Linked DNA regions of Struthio camelus. The protein of the gene in region 1 interacts with the protein of each later gene in a pairwise test. Links are inferred from orthologs where the notes say so. Each region holds a gene or a part of one and is shown on either strand. Other genes may lie near its edges.

Evidence for each region. The genes of interacting proteins can lie anywhere in the genome.
Region 2: the proteins of CSTPP1 (region 1) and RAB29 interact in a two-hybrid assay, tested with the Homo sapiens proteins (2 studies listed by BioGRID and IntAct). The two-hybrid records come from large-scale screens. The link is inferred for Struthio camelus from reciprocal best matches to the Homo sapiens genes CSTPP1 and RAB29.

The regions. Positions count from the first base shown.
Region 1 is NC_090946.1:39,558,041-39,565,640, forward strand, and holds the start of CSTPP1 (centriolar satellite-associated tubulin polyglutamylase complex regulator 1), read right to left. Parts: upstream 3,028-7,600; 5' UTR 2,940-3,027; coding exon 2,894-2,939; intron 1-2,893. UniProt on the Homo sapiens protein: Regulator of the tubulin polyglutamylase complex (TPGC) that controls cytoskeletal organization, nuclear shape, and cilium disassembly by balancing microtubule and actin assembly.
Region 2 is NC_090965.1:7,514,304-7,522,019, forward strand, and holds the start of RAB29 (ras-related protein Rab-7L1), read right to left. Parts: upstream 3,102-7,716; 5' UTR 2,967-3,101; coding exon 2,843-2,966; intron 516-2,842; coding exon 444-515; intron 1-443. UniProt on the Homo sapiens protein: The small GTPases Rab are key regulators in vesicle trafficking. Essential for maintaining the integrity of the endosome-trans-Golgi network structure.

The DNA of each region.
Region 1 (7,600 bases):
TTGGCCACTCATTTTATTAGTCAGTCCATTTTTGGTTTTCAGAAAGGAAAGGGGGGAAAAAGAGATTAAGTGAAGTTTGCCTATCCCACATGAAGAAAGGGAGTGCCATTTCATTTTGGAGACGCTCAAAGACTACATTATGCAGCAGCCTGGGGCAACACAACTTCAGAGTGAAATTGCAGAAAGTGAAACTTGTTTATCCCAATTGCTTACAATTCCACATCAGATAATGGTGATTGTTGACAAATGGTCATTGACATTGAGCCACACCATAGGACAAATGGAGAGGGCATCTCACCTCATCGAAAGAATGGTGATTTCAGAAAGCCAAGTCAATGGAGAAAACATTAAAAGATTTTATGAAAACAGCTTTTTTTTAAACCTTTTTTCTGCTTGTAAGACAAAGTTCAGACAACAGATTCTGTGAGCAGTTTGGAAAGTTACCAAGCCTCATAAAGACAAAAAATATATATATTTTTGCTAACGTTTACAGCTAAGGAAAACATCATGTAGTGGACGTTTTTCCTCTGCTAAACAGAATCACAGAATGGTTTAGGTTGGAAGGGACCTCTGGAGATCATCTAGTCCAACCTCCCTGCTCAAGCAGGGTCACCTAGAGCATATTGCCCAGGATCACATCCAGATGGCTTTTGAATATCTCCAGGGAAGGAGACTCCACCACCTCTCTGGGCAACCTGTTCCAATGCTCTCTCACCCTCACAGTGAAGAAGTTTTTCCTCAGGTTCAGATGGAACTTCCTGTGGTTCAGTTTCTGCCCATTGCCTCTTGTCCTGTTGCTGGGCACCATGGAGAAGAGGCTGGCCTCATCCTCTTGACACTCCCCCTTCAGATACTTGTACACATTTATCAGATCACCTCTCAGTCTTCTCTTCTCCAGACTGAACAGGCCGAGCTCTCGCAGCCTTTCTTCGTAGGAGAGATGCTCCAGTCCCCTCACCCTCTTTGTAGCCCTCCGCTGGACTCTCTCCAGGAGTGCCATGTCTCTCTTGTACTGGGGAGCCCAGAACTGGACACAGTACTCCAGGTGAGGCTGTGGATACTGCAACTTAACAATGGATACTGCAACTTAAACAGAAGGGCATACTAAGTGATCAACAGAACATGCTCTTACACAAGTTCCTGCTCAACCTGACATGCACATACACCTTTTTCTGATCCCAATGCCAGAATAATTTAGAAGGTTTTAGAAAATGAAAAGGGAACGGTAGAGCAGTATGTAGAACAGAGATAAAAGGATACTCACTTTAAGGTACTACAGCTGCCTGTACCTAGCAACTTTGCACATCTCTTAGAAATCCCATTTCTCAAATTCAGATTTAGGTAAAACAGAAAACTGGTTATTCATTCTTCTACTTTAAGAATTTTTGGTCTATGCTTCCTAGATTGTGTTGAGTGATTCAATCCTTACTGACAAGTTTCACACAAGTAAAGTTAAGTGACTTATTTCATTAAAAACAATTAAAAGAAAGTAAAACCAAGTTGGCTCATTAAAAAGAGAAATTTTGCAAGTTGCTGCCTAGAGCAACTCTGTGGAATAGTTATGAGTCTCTCCATTAAAGCGTAGGTTGAAAATGCTGACATGGTGTGATAGAGTAGCACAAAGCTATCTTCGTAGCACACTGTGATGTTCTTCTCAAATATCTGAACTAGCTTCATGCCTAGAATTGAAATCAGTAAAAAGAACTTCAGCAAAGTGAGTCTCCTGAGATAATCACCCTGGACAGAGCACCAAACAAACTCTTCTTTCTACCTGGAGTTTCCTTAACACAGAATAGCATTGAAGCTATGCGGGCATGCACAAAGTATCATAAAAGCAGTCTAGAAGGAAAAGTACAGAGAGATTACACTCCAAGAGGAATTATCTAACTCTTTTGCTTAAATATGTCTTCTTCCACCATCACTATGTATTACCATAACGCACTTCAAAAGAGCAGTTGCATCCCTACTCATTCATAGTTTTGCTAGGCTAAACAAATCAAGGTCTTTAGCCTCCCCCTTGCAAGACAGGTTTTCCATTTCCTGGAAGCTAGCAATATTTCTCTACACTTGTTCCGTTTTGACTTACCGGAGATGGCAAAATGATGTTGGAACAAGCAGCACAAACAAATCCCTACCAATTCTTTGAATGAAAAAGCCACAGTGGATTATGTATACATTTATAAAATCTATTTCCACGCAGCCTGCTGTTCCTAGAAGGTAATGGCTGAAGAGTTTCACTTTAAAAATGCTGACTTGAACATGTTCAAAATGCTTATTACTTACAATCCGTCTTCTCTTTAGCAATCAAATTAAATAATATTGACTTTATTGCATCATAACTGTTTTCAGTTAACACACCAACACCAGAACACTTTTCCTTATTTCACTAGAGCACCTAGCAGTAACACAAACTGTGTGAGAGCCCGTCTAAAAAGAAACAGTCCATTAGGCAGCCGTTGCTTCAGAAGTTAAAAAAAAAAAAAAAACAAAACTCCACGTTAGGCAACACAAGGAGATCTGTAGGAAGCATTACCAATACTACTTTATTTCAGGAGAAAAGCTGCCATTCAAACCATCTCACAACGTAAGACCAGCTGCCATCTACTCCGATGTAGAGAAAGGAGCGTAAAAATAAGGTTGGATCTGCGAGCACGGCAGAAGATGAAACCTAATGGGCTAAACGAGGTTACAGCCTGCCTTCCTGCCCCACAGCAGCAGGACACCGCTGACCACTGCTCACGCAGGGCTAACAGAGCGCGGGGGAGACCCCAGCGCACGCCCCGAGGCCGGCTCCGCCTTCCCGGCCCCGCAGCTCGCCGCCCCGCAGCCCTCCCGGCGGACACGGAGCCACCCCCAGCCCCTCCGAGCTGCCCGGCCGCGGCCCGCTCCTCACCCAGGTACTCGGGCCCCGGCAGCGACAGCCGCTCGGCGCTCAGCATCCTCCCGCCGCCGCCCTCCCGGCTTCCGTCCGTTTCCAAGGCGCCCGACGCTCTCGCCGCGCGCAGGGCCGGGTGTTGCTCGACCGCTCGCCCCGGCTGGGAACACGCGCCCGCGCCACGAAGGTTCCGGGCCGCCAGCCGCTCAGGCGGGGTGACGAGCCCGGCCCGGCCCGGCCTTTCCCCTGGCCCCCCCAACCCCCGGACTGAGCCTAGGGCCTCGGCAGCCTTCTGCAGCCCGGAGGTCAGCACAGGTCAGGGGCTGCGAGCAAGTCTGGGAAGTCACGCGTGACCTCGTGGGGAAGTTGTCCCGAGAAGCGTGCCGACATGGCGGCCTGGCCAGGGGCAGGGGCCGTGAGGCGACACGGCGGCCTGGCCGCAGGGCAGGGGCCGTGAGGGGACATGGCGATACAGGGACAAGGGACACGCAGGGGAAACAGAGTTGGTGAAGCTGAAGAGCCACAGTGGCACGAGGAAAAACATGTAAATACCCTTTCAGGTTAAATTTAAGTTGAAAATCAGAAGGCGCCTAACACCAGAGAGGTGCTGGAAACTTTGGAACAGCAACTGTGAGGGAAAGAGCCGTATTTGAAGGTGAATGATAAGTTGATGAAGGACTTTGTGTAGCAACCTTACCCCAGAGAGCAGGGACTGACCAGGGCCCCCAGTCCAGTCCTTCTGTCTGTGTGGTTGCTCTGCAGCCGGGCCGCTGTTTCCCAGCCCTAGTGCTCCAGAGAGCTGTGGGGCTATGGGGAGCACCAGGAATTGCTTGTTGGTCACAGGAAAGTAGAAAAGAGGAGGGGAGTGCTGAACTACAGGCTCTTTCTGCTCAGTGGGAATGGCCTGGGTTCCTGGGGATCGGAGAAGGCAGAGCTCTTCTTGAGGCTGGAAGCAGCCCTGCTGGGCTCGCCGCCTTTAGAAGCTGAAGAGGCCCAAGTTCCCAAAGGAATGCAGTTTCCTGCATCACCATTAGAAAAAGCTCAGGCCAGGATGCCTTCCAAAAAAAGGAAGGACTGAGGAAAGGTTGTCTATGTTTTTACTGACAAAAGCCAAAGAACAGAAATGAAATAAACTGCTTATGCATGGATATAACCTGCCATTGTTGCAGTAGTGGAAAGAGCAGACTGTCACTGTTGGCAACCCAACTTTAACTTCTACTCAAAGGACAGTCACAGTTAAAATGAGCAAGCAAGTTGTTATAACCGCCCTGTTTTTATCCTTAAAAGTCTTGCTTGGACTACTCTGCTGTCTTTGGGTTGTGCTGTCTTTCAAAGGATATGGCTTAAGTAGAAATATTCTAAAGATGGGTAGCGATAATAATTTGGGAAACAATTAGACAATGAGACACTCCAATGTGAGGCATGATCAGAAAAAAGATAAAATTGCTTTAAAGAAGATAGGTATAACATAGAAAATTATAATGTTATATAAGTGATATGTCCTATAGTAAAGCTAGTTTAGAACAGCATATTTGTTCAGTCTTGTAATGCAGAAAATTCTTTGTGTTTAAAGGCTATACATTTAAAAGGAAGGCAAATTTTTGATACCACATACAATTAGAGTGTGGAAGGAATTGACTGAAGATATTTTTGAGGCCAGGAATTCAGCAGACTTTAGAAAGGAAGTAGAGACTTTCATAAAGAGTTAAAAAAAATACAGGATTGTGTTATTACAAGTTGAAGCATATGGGGAAAAAAAAGAGCACAGAGTCTGGAGGAATATGAGCTATCATACTTCACAGAGAAGCCAATTATCTGACTGATGGGGATTTGGAAAACATTTTTCCTTACATGAAGTTTATTCCATAACTGTTCACTTTAGGGTTTCTGGCACTTTAGGATGAAGTATCTGGTACTAGCTGCTGTTGGAGAGGAGACACTGAATTTGATAGACCCTCTGCGATCGTTAGATTTCAGAGCACAATTCTGGGGCTGTTAAAACTAACATCAAGATCTCTGTTTGCACAAGCAGTAAACACAGTTCTTTACCATCAGGCAGGCAGTTTTGCTGCTGTTGAAAAGCCAAATGTAAAAGCTTTTCCTCTCCTAAAAGGCTGGTAAGCAGAGCTACTAGTAGCCTTCCACAGGTTGTACACTGTTCATTTTGTTGTGCAGTCTCTGTAAAACACTTCTCCTTGATCAGCATCTGCAGCACTCATTTAGAGGAGTCCAATTTTAAATAGTACACTCTAATATTTCTATTTCTCATTCTTTCTGGGATTTTTCTCTTGTTACTTTTTGTTCTCTATGGATTAGACTTTTTTGTTTTCTTAAACCAGCTGAGGGAATCCTTTTGGACTCTAAGCCCGTTTGTGGTTGTAGAAATGATAAATTTCAGCAGTAGTGGCGCCTGACTGTTAATGATTCAAAGACAACTATATGAAAACAAGATGTCATTTCTGGAGCCAGTCATTGACTTTCCCTGTTTACTGTCATTTCTTTCTGGGCTTGCCAGAGCCAGGATTAGGTGAAAGAGCAGATGAACTGGAAGACTCACCTGTTCTCTCAAGCTTGTGATCTGCAAAGGGAGAGATTCTGCCAGTCTGGCCATGGTTATAATCTTTGTTTTCCCGTATTAATCTTAGGGCCCTAGACTACTGCATTTTAATAAAAGTTTTTTTATATTGACAAGGCTCTTCTGGGTCACTGAAAAACATCCATGGGTTTAAAAGGTTCCCCAAGAGACGCAACTCTCACACAGGGACTTAATGTTCTTTTGGACCTAGCCGAAAGAATGACAGTGAAAAACAGTAGTTGTCTTTGTCAACAGCCCCTTAGTAGAGCATCAGAGGTATAAGCCTCACTTTAGGACTTAACCCTATGGAGTAGGTTCCCAAGGTCATTGCCTACCGAGAGAATCCTGGTGGTGCTTATATTCCTTAGCTAAAATCACCGGGTTTTGTCCCAGGGACATTTAGGAATCCAAATCAGCCTTTCAAGAGGATTAGCTGGACTACATTGATTTATTTTGTGGGCACGCTCAATCAGAATTGGAGTGACATTGATCTGATTTAGCTTAATTCACTTTCAAAGAATGGTTTAAGTAGCCTTTCAGAATTCATACCGTTAGGTAAATTGGACCAATTTATATCCTGTGCCCACAAGTTTTGAAAATACTCAGTGGTATAATTTGAAGTATTTTATGAGAGATAATTTCATTATGATGTTATAATGCATGGACTGGGAAACTCCATGCTGTATCAGTTTTGTATGTGTTCTCAGCAATTTTGCTTAGATCAGATTGTTGTTCTCCTTCGCTCCCACATACTTTACCCTCACTGTGTTAATTATCTTGACTGTTTTTATGTTCACCGTTCTACATGATGCTATCAAAATTGATCTGAAATATTTTCCCTTTTATTAGTTAAAGGTCTGCTGAACAGCAGTTCCTCTTTCAGAAAGGGTAGTATATAGAATAATAAACAGGACTAGATATCAAGCAACAAATTCCAGAGGAAATGCTTTGTTTTAAACAGGCTGACTTATTTCGTCTGGCTCCTATTACCTTTTTTTGGAATAAAACATTTTATTTGCTTAGAATGTTAACAATTATTGCTAAAGTAGCTGCAATAAAGCCTGAACATATTGGAAGGAAGAACTTAACTTTTCTTTCTTTCTTTTTTTTTTTCCAGAAGGCAGTTGGAAATGCTACTGTAGTTGGAAATGCTACTGCTGTTACAGCTAAGACTTACAGAGAACTAGGCTGTGGGAAATCTTCAGCGCTGTTCCAGTTCTGATTTCTGTGCAATTAATGTAAGCCAATTTCACAAGAAACACAAGGAAACTGTTTATTGCTTTTCTTGTTTACACTTTGAGTCTCCAGAGTCTTTTCCTATCTTAAAACAGTTAGCTAACAGTGTTTCTTGTGGTGGACTTAGCTTTTTGGGTTTTGGTGGTGGGTTGTGTTTTTGGAGGCCTCCCACGCATTTACTAGCTGAGCTCTACCTCATACATGACAGCTAATACTATTGCCGGTGTGATAATAAAACATGGTTATTTTAAGACACCTGACAAGCAAACCATAGTAAAAGGAGAAAAACATTGAACTAAAAGAAAGAACTATCCATCTTAACTGACAATCTATTATTTTAGGCATTGTAGCAGAGAGAAATTTTGAGGCGAGATCTGAAAGAATGGAGAATAAGAGCTTCACATGCTATTATTTATGTACGTTATAGGAAAACCTGAAAGTGAAGTTAGGATTCTGTTATGTAAGATGTAAAAATCAATGGAGATGAAGCAGGATGATTCATTTATGAGTCATTTGCAAAGCCGTAAAAACTTCCAATTGAATTTACGATTTAATAATTATATTTATGAATTATGATAAAACGCTCTACACACATTCCCTAAAATTAAATAAGATATCTTAATTAAAAAGGTCAGCCAAAAACACAATGACATTATATTATCAAATCCATATTTGCGTATTTTTAATTCCTCAGAAGACACCTCGTTACAGAAGAAGACCACCCTGTGCTTATCTTAATCTGAGCCTTCTCAAGCTCTGTACTGTTTGCCTAGTTCATGTGCAGCACAGAGGTTTAGTAGAAATAAACCAATCATCTTTCTCTAATAATGCAGTAGTAATAGTTTACCTCTTCAGGTAAAACCTACACAAATGGATAGGACATTGTCTTTAAAGGTCAAGGGATTTTATAGAAA
Region 2 (7,716 bases), on another chromosome or scaffold:
TCCCAGCAGCAAGACCAGATTGAATTCAATGGAAGTACTCCAAGTTTAGACACAAGAATCGGGCCTTCCTGGCTGTCATGCCAGAGATCAGTATTTTAACAGAGGACTTAGAGCTGAGAAGTTATATATCCAGTTACAAATCACTTGGTCTCCCCATTCAGTCTGCTCTGGCTTTGAAATTGAAAAGAAAGGCTCCGTGGAATTTATCATTTGTGCTGTTGTGTTCTTTGCAGATGGGCTTTTGATTAAATATTTAAATTACCACTGCAAACTAGAAAGAACACTGCAAAGCAGAACAATTTTGCTCCTTGATTTCACAGATTTTGGGGATTTATTTTCATATCAGACTCCTTTGTGGGGGGAGGGAGAAGAAAGGAGGGCCAAGCAATTCAGAGAGCTTTAAATTCTGCTTCTGAACCGATTCGTGGTTCATCTGAACATACCTGCAATGTCCCAGAGCTGGAGTCGTACTGTCTCCGATTCTGACCACTGCACCACCTTCAGAGCAAAATCCACTAGAAAATCCCCCAAAAGAAAGGAGACCCAATTAGAGACATTCACAATATTGGACTTGTTCCCCTACAACCTCTCAACATCTCTCCAGAGGACCAGTCATAAGGCTTCACAGCCACTGCTTTCACAGCAATGGCAATTTGTACTGGACCACCACCCACACACAGCACAGACAGGGGCCAGGAGGGTCTGCAAGCGCTGTCTCCCTCTCCTCCATCACAGACCACTGCAAAATAGGTGTTAAATCCAGAAGGCTCCACGCATTGTCTGCTACGAACCCCGGGTGCTCAGACAGAATTATCACAGGCACACAAAATACCTTCAGAAAAGAAGAAATCAAGGGCATTATCAGCATCCCATCCTCGCACAAGGATGCTACACTTCGCTCTTCCCTTCCTGAACTTTGGATTAGGAGCGCTTTGGGTGGTGCTAAATAACACAATGGAGCAGTATTCCCTGCCTTGCAAAGCCTAGCCCATCTGCTGTCAAAGTCCTCACAAATGGCAGCAGAGCAATGTGGAATTTTCCAACAAACGCAGCACCAGGCAGCCACTGCACTACCCCAAAACACAGGGCTTTTTTGGAATTGGACGTTGCCCACCACCAAGGTTTGTAAAGATCCCACCCACAGCTTCCTGTCTGCAGGAGATACCCATTCTTGATCCCTGCGGTTATAACACCGACACTGTAGTGACACTAACCAAGAGCTAAGGCCAGAAGGAAAAAAAAGTTCAGGAAATAAGAATTCCTCCAGCACATAAGCCTGAATAACCACAATGCAAACAAAAGGATACTGGAAGCCTTATCGCTTGGAGAGCTGTAAGGAAACCTTCCCTCACCCAACTCTGTTTCAGTCAAGTGCTGTTTGGATCGTGCCTTTTGTACTTTTAATCCACAGTTTAAACAGTAGGCCAAAGAACTGGATCTTCTCAGTTAAGGTCAATAACGCACAAAGGAGGAGTTTTAAGTAAAAAGGTCAGAGCTAATCATGCTCCATGCCTCCTTTTAAAACTCATAATCCTAGTGGAAACTCAAAAAAAATGCTAAATGAAATGCTGGATTTGCTGTTGTCGCCTGTCTTTGTTCTGCACTACCTAAACGGTTTAGCCACTGGTACATGGAGCACAGTGTTTCCTTTCACATTTACCACTTCCCACCATCTACAACTCCACTGCAACAAATGCCCAGGGAGTAGGAAAGGAAAACACCGCATTTTTTTCAGAAGACTATGATACATCAAGTTTTCATTGCAGGAGGAAAATTGTCCAGCTAAGCTGTCATCTGTGCTCAGCAGGCCTGCTGAAGCTAGGAACACGTTTTAAAAGAGTGAAAAAAAAAGATTGCAGCTCTCTTACTGCTGCGAATGACTGTGCAGGCACAACTCCAAGCACTTTGTATCTTGCTGCTCCAACAGGATATGGCCTTCCGGTGTTTTCAATTTCTGATTGATTTATTCCCTCTGATTTTGTGAGTGAGATTTAAACAGCCACGCTCTTCCTCCAGTGCTGTGGATCCTCAAAGAGATTTGCTGAGTAAAGCCTTGGCACCGCCTGCTCTTTTTAGATCATTCACTTACACTGGTGCCAAAGAAAGAAAAACATACTCCACTTAAGTCTTGTTCCAAGCCCCCTTGTCTTAAAGCTGTTGTTTCCCCATCTTCTTTCCAAACGCACCATTTTACAGCACGACTCGTATTCAGCAACATGAAATCACTACTAAAGTAAGCCTCAAAGCAATGCTGCTTTGATTTTCACCGGAAAGATCCGAGGCTACAGTCCGGGCCCTCCAGGTGAGGGCTCGGCAGGGCGTTTGTTCGCGAGGCGGGAGGGACGGGGCACCCACATCCCTCCGGCAAGAATTAGCACAGCTGCTCGTTCATCTGTCAGCAGGGGCCTCCTTAAACAGGGGCTGCAAGCGCAGCCGGAGCCGCACCTGAGAGCCACTACAGGAGTTGCAAAATACAGTAATTACAGGCTGATGATGGTTCAGTTCGCAAACTACTGCAAGGTTTTTATGTCCGCAGGGAAGGAGAGGCGCAAGTTTCCCGTCACAGCCTCTGAACAACCGGCTTCTAAAGGCACGTTACGCTGAACGCGGAGCCCGCTGCACTTCGCGGCAGGAGGGAAGCCGCGCACCAGCTTTTCGCCGCGGCGGCCGAGCGGGGCCCGCTGGCACGGCGCAGCCCGCGCCGGCCCTCCCGGCGGGGGCGGCGAGAAGCCGGCAGCCCCTGGCGGCCGGCGGAGAGCGGCGCTGCCGGCCCCGAGCCCGCCCGCCCGCCGCGCTGCGGGGTCCGCTGCGGCCCCGGCGGGGCAGCGCGCCGCCCGCTCACCTCCCACCGTGGACTTGTAGTGCCGGTTGAAGCTGTCGTTGGCGTAGCGCTGCACCAGCGACGTCTTCCCCACCGTGGCGTCGCCCACCACCAGCACCTTGAACATGCGGTCGCGGTGCCCCATGCCGCCGCCCGGCCCGGCCCGGCTCGGCCCGGCTCGGCTCGGCTCGGCTCGGCCCGCTCACGTGACGGTCAGGTGGCTGGAGCGGCGGAGCCGCCGCCGGCGCGGGGCTGCCGGGACGTGTAGTCCGCGGCCGCCGCCCCCGAGCCGGGGCCGGGCGCTCACCCCGCCCGTGCTGAGGGCGGTGCAAGTCCCTCCGCAAGGAAATCTTTCAAAAAGGGCAGAGGAGACGATGAGGGTGAGGTGGGGCTACATCGAAATGCTGGAGACGGGGGCGGGATACGCTGCTGCGCTGCAGCGGTTCGGGAAGAAAAGCTTGCAGGGTAAAAGGTGACGCACCCGCCCCCCTCCTTGCTGACGGGAAGGTTTCGATCCGCTCAGCCAGAGCCAGCTCGGGACCGGGAGAGACAGGCCAGGACGCCGGGCACGCGCGGCCACGCTTCACTCAGCACCCCGGCATTCGGACCTGTGGGACTGCTCAACTGCGCTTGCAAGAATTATATTGCAAGCTCTACCATGGCAGAGAAAAAGATCTGAAGTAGTTTGGGGATTCAAAAGCTAGAAAGCAAGTAAAGCCAAACCACAATGTGTATATGCATGTATATATGTGGGGTGCCTTGTTTTAAGTAAAGCTACAGTTGTTGGGATTCCATCAAGGTAGGATCAAGTTAAGGGCAAAATGGTTCTCCTTGCAAAACCCATTCCCCCTTCCCCTCCTGCTTTTTAGCCCAACCAAAACAATCTACCCCCCCAATCAACACCAAGTCATAGAATGAACCCCCCCCGCCCCCCGCCATGGTACACTGGTATTTAGTGCAGGGGGAAATGACGTGAAGCTTCAGGCAACAGGACACAGGTTCAGAGATTTATAGCCAGCAAGGCCTTGCTGGTTGTTGCCTACTCTTCAGCACTGCTGTAGGTTTGCCGCAGGACTACCCACCGCGCTCCTCGTTCAGGCGAGCAGCGAGGAGGCACAGCCGTACAGGAAAACAGGCCACAGGATAACGCAAATCCTACAGCAGCAAACGCAGAGCCCTGGCAAGGCACCCGGCTGCTGCGTGTTCGGGAGGCTTCTCGGCCTCCCCCAGCAAACACGCAGGACCGCTATGCGCTGCACCCCTAAAACAGCCACAGGCAGAGGGAGGACAGATAACAGGCCCTCGCTGCAGGCATTGCAGCTGCAAAGCCAGGGAAGGGGCTGAAAAACAAACCTTTGCCTGTTCTGCTGGGAACTCGTGTAGCTACCTGGGTCTACCCAAAGGCAAACTAGAAGCTGGCCTGGCTAAAATCTGGCAGGCCATAATCTTATCATTTTCACTAATCATGTTTTTACCTGATGCACAAAATTTTTATTTTGTTTTCATAACTCATTCCACTACATATCAGAAAATTGAGAGTAGAGAGAGAGACCTTCAACCACAGAGTGGCTGCACTGCAGATTCATGCAGTGAATACACAAGACAATCTGTTATTAATTCAGGCAACATAACATGTTTCAAATCAATTATTAAGCCAGAGGCACCACTTGAATGAGCCACTGCCACAGTCCATTAATGCCAACACAAGTAGGAAAGTGACCTTCGCCTGCATGCAAACACGCGCCTGCTGGAGCCCCCGCAGCAGGGAGTCGCTCCCGTCTCTGCTGAGAGGTGCGGCGAGGACGCGCTGAGCCCTTCAGCACCGTCTGCTTCAGGCTCACGGCCTTCCCCAGGCACTCCCATGCCACTGGCAGTCATTTCGCCCCGTTCTAGCATCACGACCAGAAAAATAGAAAGCTCATCCATTTTAGCAAAGGTTGGGTCTCTACAGGCACAAGGGTCTGATCAGCCCTTTCTCAGCAGCTGCTGGGTCCTCTGCATCACATCTTGGGAAACATTAGCAAATTAACCACATCCTCACATTGCAGTGGTCTCTCTCCCCTAAGGCCGATGAAACTTTCCCGCACAAAAACCAGACAAGAATCAGGCTCCCCAGGAGGTTAAGTGTTTTAAAATATTTCTAAAGTAGCAGACAGGAGATGTGACAATAAGGTGGTATGACCGATACCTTCACATGCGAGGACCGCATGGAGAAAACACACCGCAATCCACATAAATAAATGTCATCTTTATTTAACCAAATATAATTTATCAGTTAAGTTGACATCTGTCAATTCAGTTATAGGAACTATAAATAATTAAGACAGTCTTTTTCCTTTAATAAAAAGAGTAAACCAGTATTTTTTCATTTGCAGTCAGATGTAAAGTAGGCATGCATTTGAGTGCAACTGGTGGAAAGTTTTCATCCTTCAATATTCCGAAAATTTAAGTTAGATTCTCCCCTGACTTATTTCCCCCCTCTCACACACCCACGCTAGACCTTATAAAATTGTACATACAGCATCATCCCAGCAGCATGACAGCTTTTAATCACCTCTGGGTCCCTACGTCTTACAGAGGAGACCAAAAGTGGTTGATTCTCCTTCTGGCAAAAATCCTTTCTTAGGGAACTAGATAGTTGTGTGACACCTGAAGAGACCTAGGACCTTTCTCACATATAAGCTTAAGTGTTAATGGAAGGAAATATCAAATCTATTCCTCAACATCAAGCAGAGAAATCAGGTGAGCAGGAGCAAATACTTCAGAAGTCCCTAGGCTAAGACTTCAGTACAGGAGGGTTTGGGGGGGGGGGGGATGGGGGTGGTGCTGGTTTGTTTGAGGTTTTTTTGGACAATACCTTGGCCAAATTAGATTTGTGAGAAGTCAAGTCAGGAGGGTGAAGAGTATAAAGTTCAGAACTAATGTCACGAAAGCACACATTGCAAAGGTAGAAAAAGGGAAAGAAAGCCTTAGGCTACATTAGTAAGGTAGAAGGGGGAAACCCATCTGAAAATGCATCACCTGCTCTTCTTAAGGTCCAAGAGTCAGTATTCTGACAGGGTAAGAATCAGATCTCTGCTTCCCAAATTCTACAAACAGGGAAGGTATTAAAAATAGGAATACTTTATATATACATACTAAAAGAATCCTTTCATGTTTCACAACTTGCTAAACAGTGGTCCCTCAGCAATCTGCTCTTGAGCAGGCAAAAGACTAACTGCAGGTTGGTTCAGATGCATCTGTTTCTGTGGTTTTTCAGAACTGGTTTCCATTAATCCTGAGCTTCCTTTCTAACAGGCTTGTCTCCAGAGTAGGGATCAACTCTGGAGCCAGATCTCTGGGTGTGGACAACACCTGATTTCAGTCTAAATTTGTTCTCGATTTGGATCGTAGAAGGGTGTGTTCACCTCAGCTCTTCCGGTTTTTCGGGGGATGGGGTGGGGGTGAAAACAGTTTCTAACAAAATCCTCTTACCTAAAAAGTAAAAATGGCTACACTTACACAGGGCTTTGTAGAACTCGGCTAGTTCTTGCATTGCCAGAGCAACACACATATCTTCCAACCAGGCCTTATTTCAGATGATCAGCAGCCCCAACAGCACATTGCACTTTTTTCCATTTGAGCACAGAAGCCCAGTGTTGCTGGGATAGAAAGCAAAAAGACAACGAGCATTGGTTTCAATAAGGCCTGTGTGAGAAATACAGAAGTTAACCCAAATGAGGAAATTAAGCCAATCAAGAATGGTCATGTTCTGCTATGAGGAACACACTTAGACAAAGAAAAAAAAAAAAACAGAGAGGAAAAGCAGCAGCCTACAGGCAACCACAAATTCAGCAGCTTTAGGGTTATACTGTGGAGCTGCAAATAAACAGGACAGGCAGTGTGTCCAGAACAGGACCAGAACTGAAGCACTCCGAGCCTGCGCAGCTAAGTACGACGAGAGCTTGGCTGTTATTTCAGGGTCAGGATGTAAGGGGCTACCGTGCTGAATACTGCAGGCATCCCCAGAGTTCTGGAGGATACCAGCAGCTCCCCGAGCTTTGTGTACTGGAGCACTGAAATCAGGCTCCACGCAATATACTGTGTTTTTCCATCTTTCACAGATGTTAAGAGCTTCCCCCCACACACTTCAAATCATGCATTCAATTTATATTCATACATTAAAGCCCGTTGAATGAGGCTGGCTGCCTGAGCATATCATTTGAACATGGTGTAATAGGGTGAAGTTTCCAAGTCAATCAGACCTGCTTACACCAAACTGCATCCAGTTTACTGAATCAATTTAGATCCAAATGGAAAAACTAAAGAGTGTTAAGTGCCAACAACATTCAGCAAGACCATTTACAAATGCCTTAGTCGCACAGCCAGAACAGGTTTTCTCTCATTATGCCGCTGCAGACTTCCAATACGTACTAGCAGGATAAGAGAATGCATCTCAGCATTACTTAGATGAAGAGCACAAAAAGCAGAGGGGAGAGTAACAGAGCAGAGAGCCCTGCACTTGCACAGTACTCAGCCACTGCTTGCAAGCCAGGCTGTAACCCTGACCCCAGATTTCACAAACCTTCTCAAGGGCAAGCTCTTTCCTTTGCTGCAGTCCAGTACAGAGAGCTGCACTGAACTTCAGGACTCGGACTTCAGAAATCAGGCTGCAGCTGCTAACCTGTTTCCCAGCTAGCACTTACACACACCGGAGAAAGCCAATGGCTGAACATGGGCGTCCTTTTCTAAGGGGCACCAACAGCATAACATTCCCAGCTTTGAAGTGCCTCAGGCTCAGCTGTGAGAAATACTGAATGGCCTCTTCCCAGCTGCAATGGGCCCTTCAGCAGCACTCACCAACTGTGAAAGTAAGTCGTAACACAAAAAATAGGATCTATTTTTCCACCCATCCT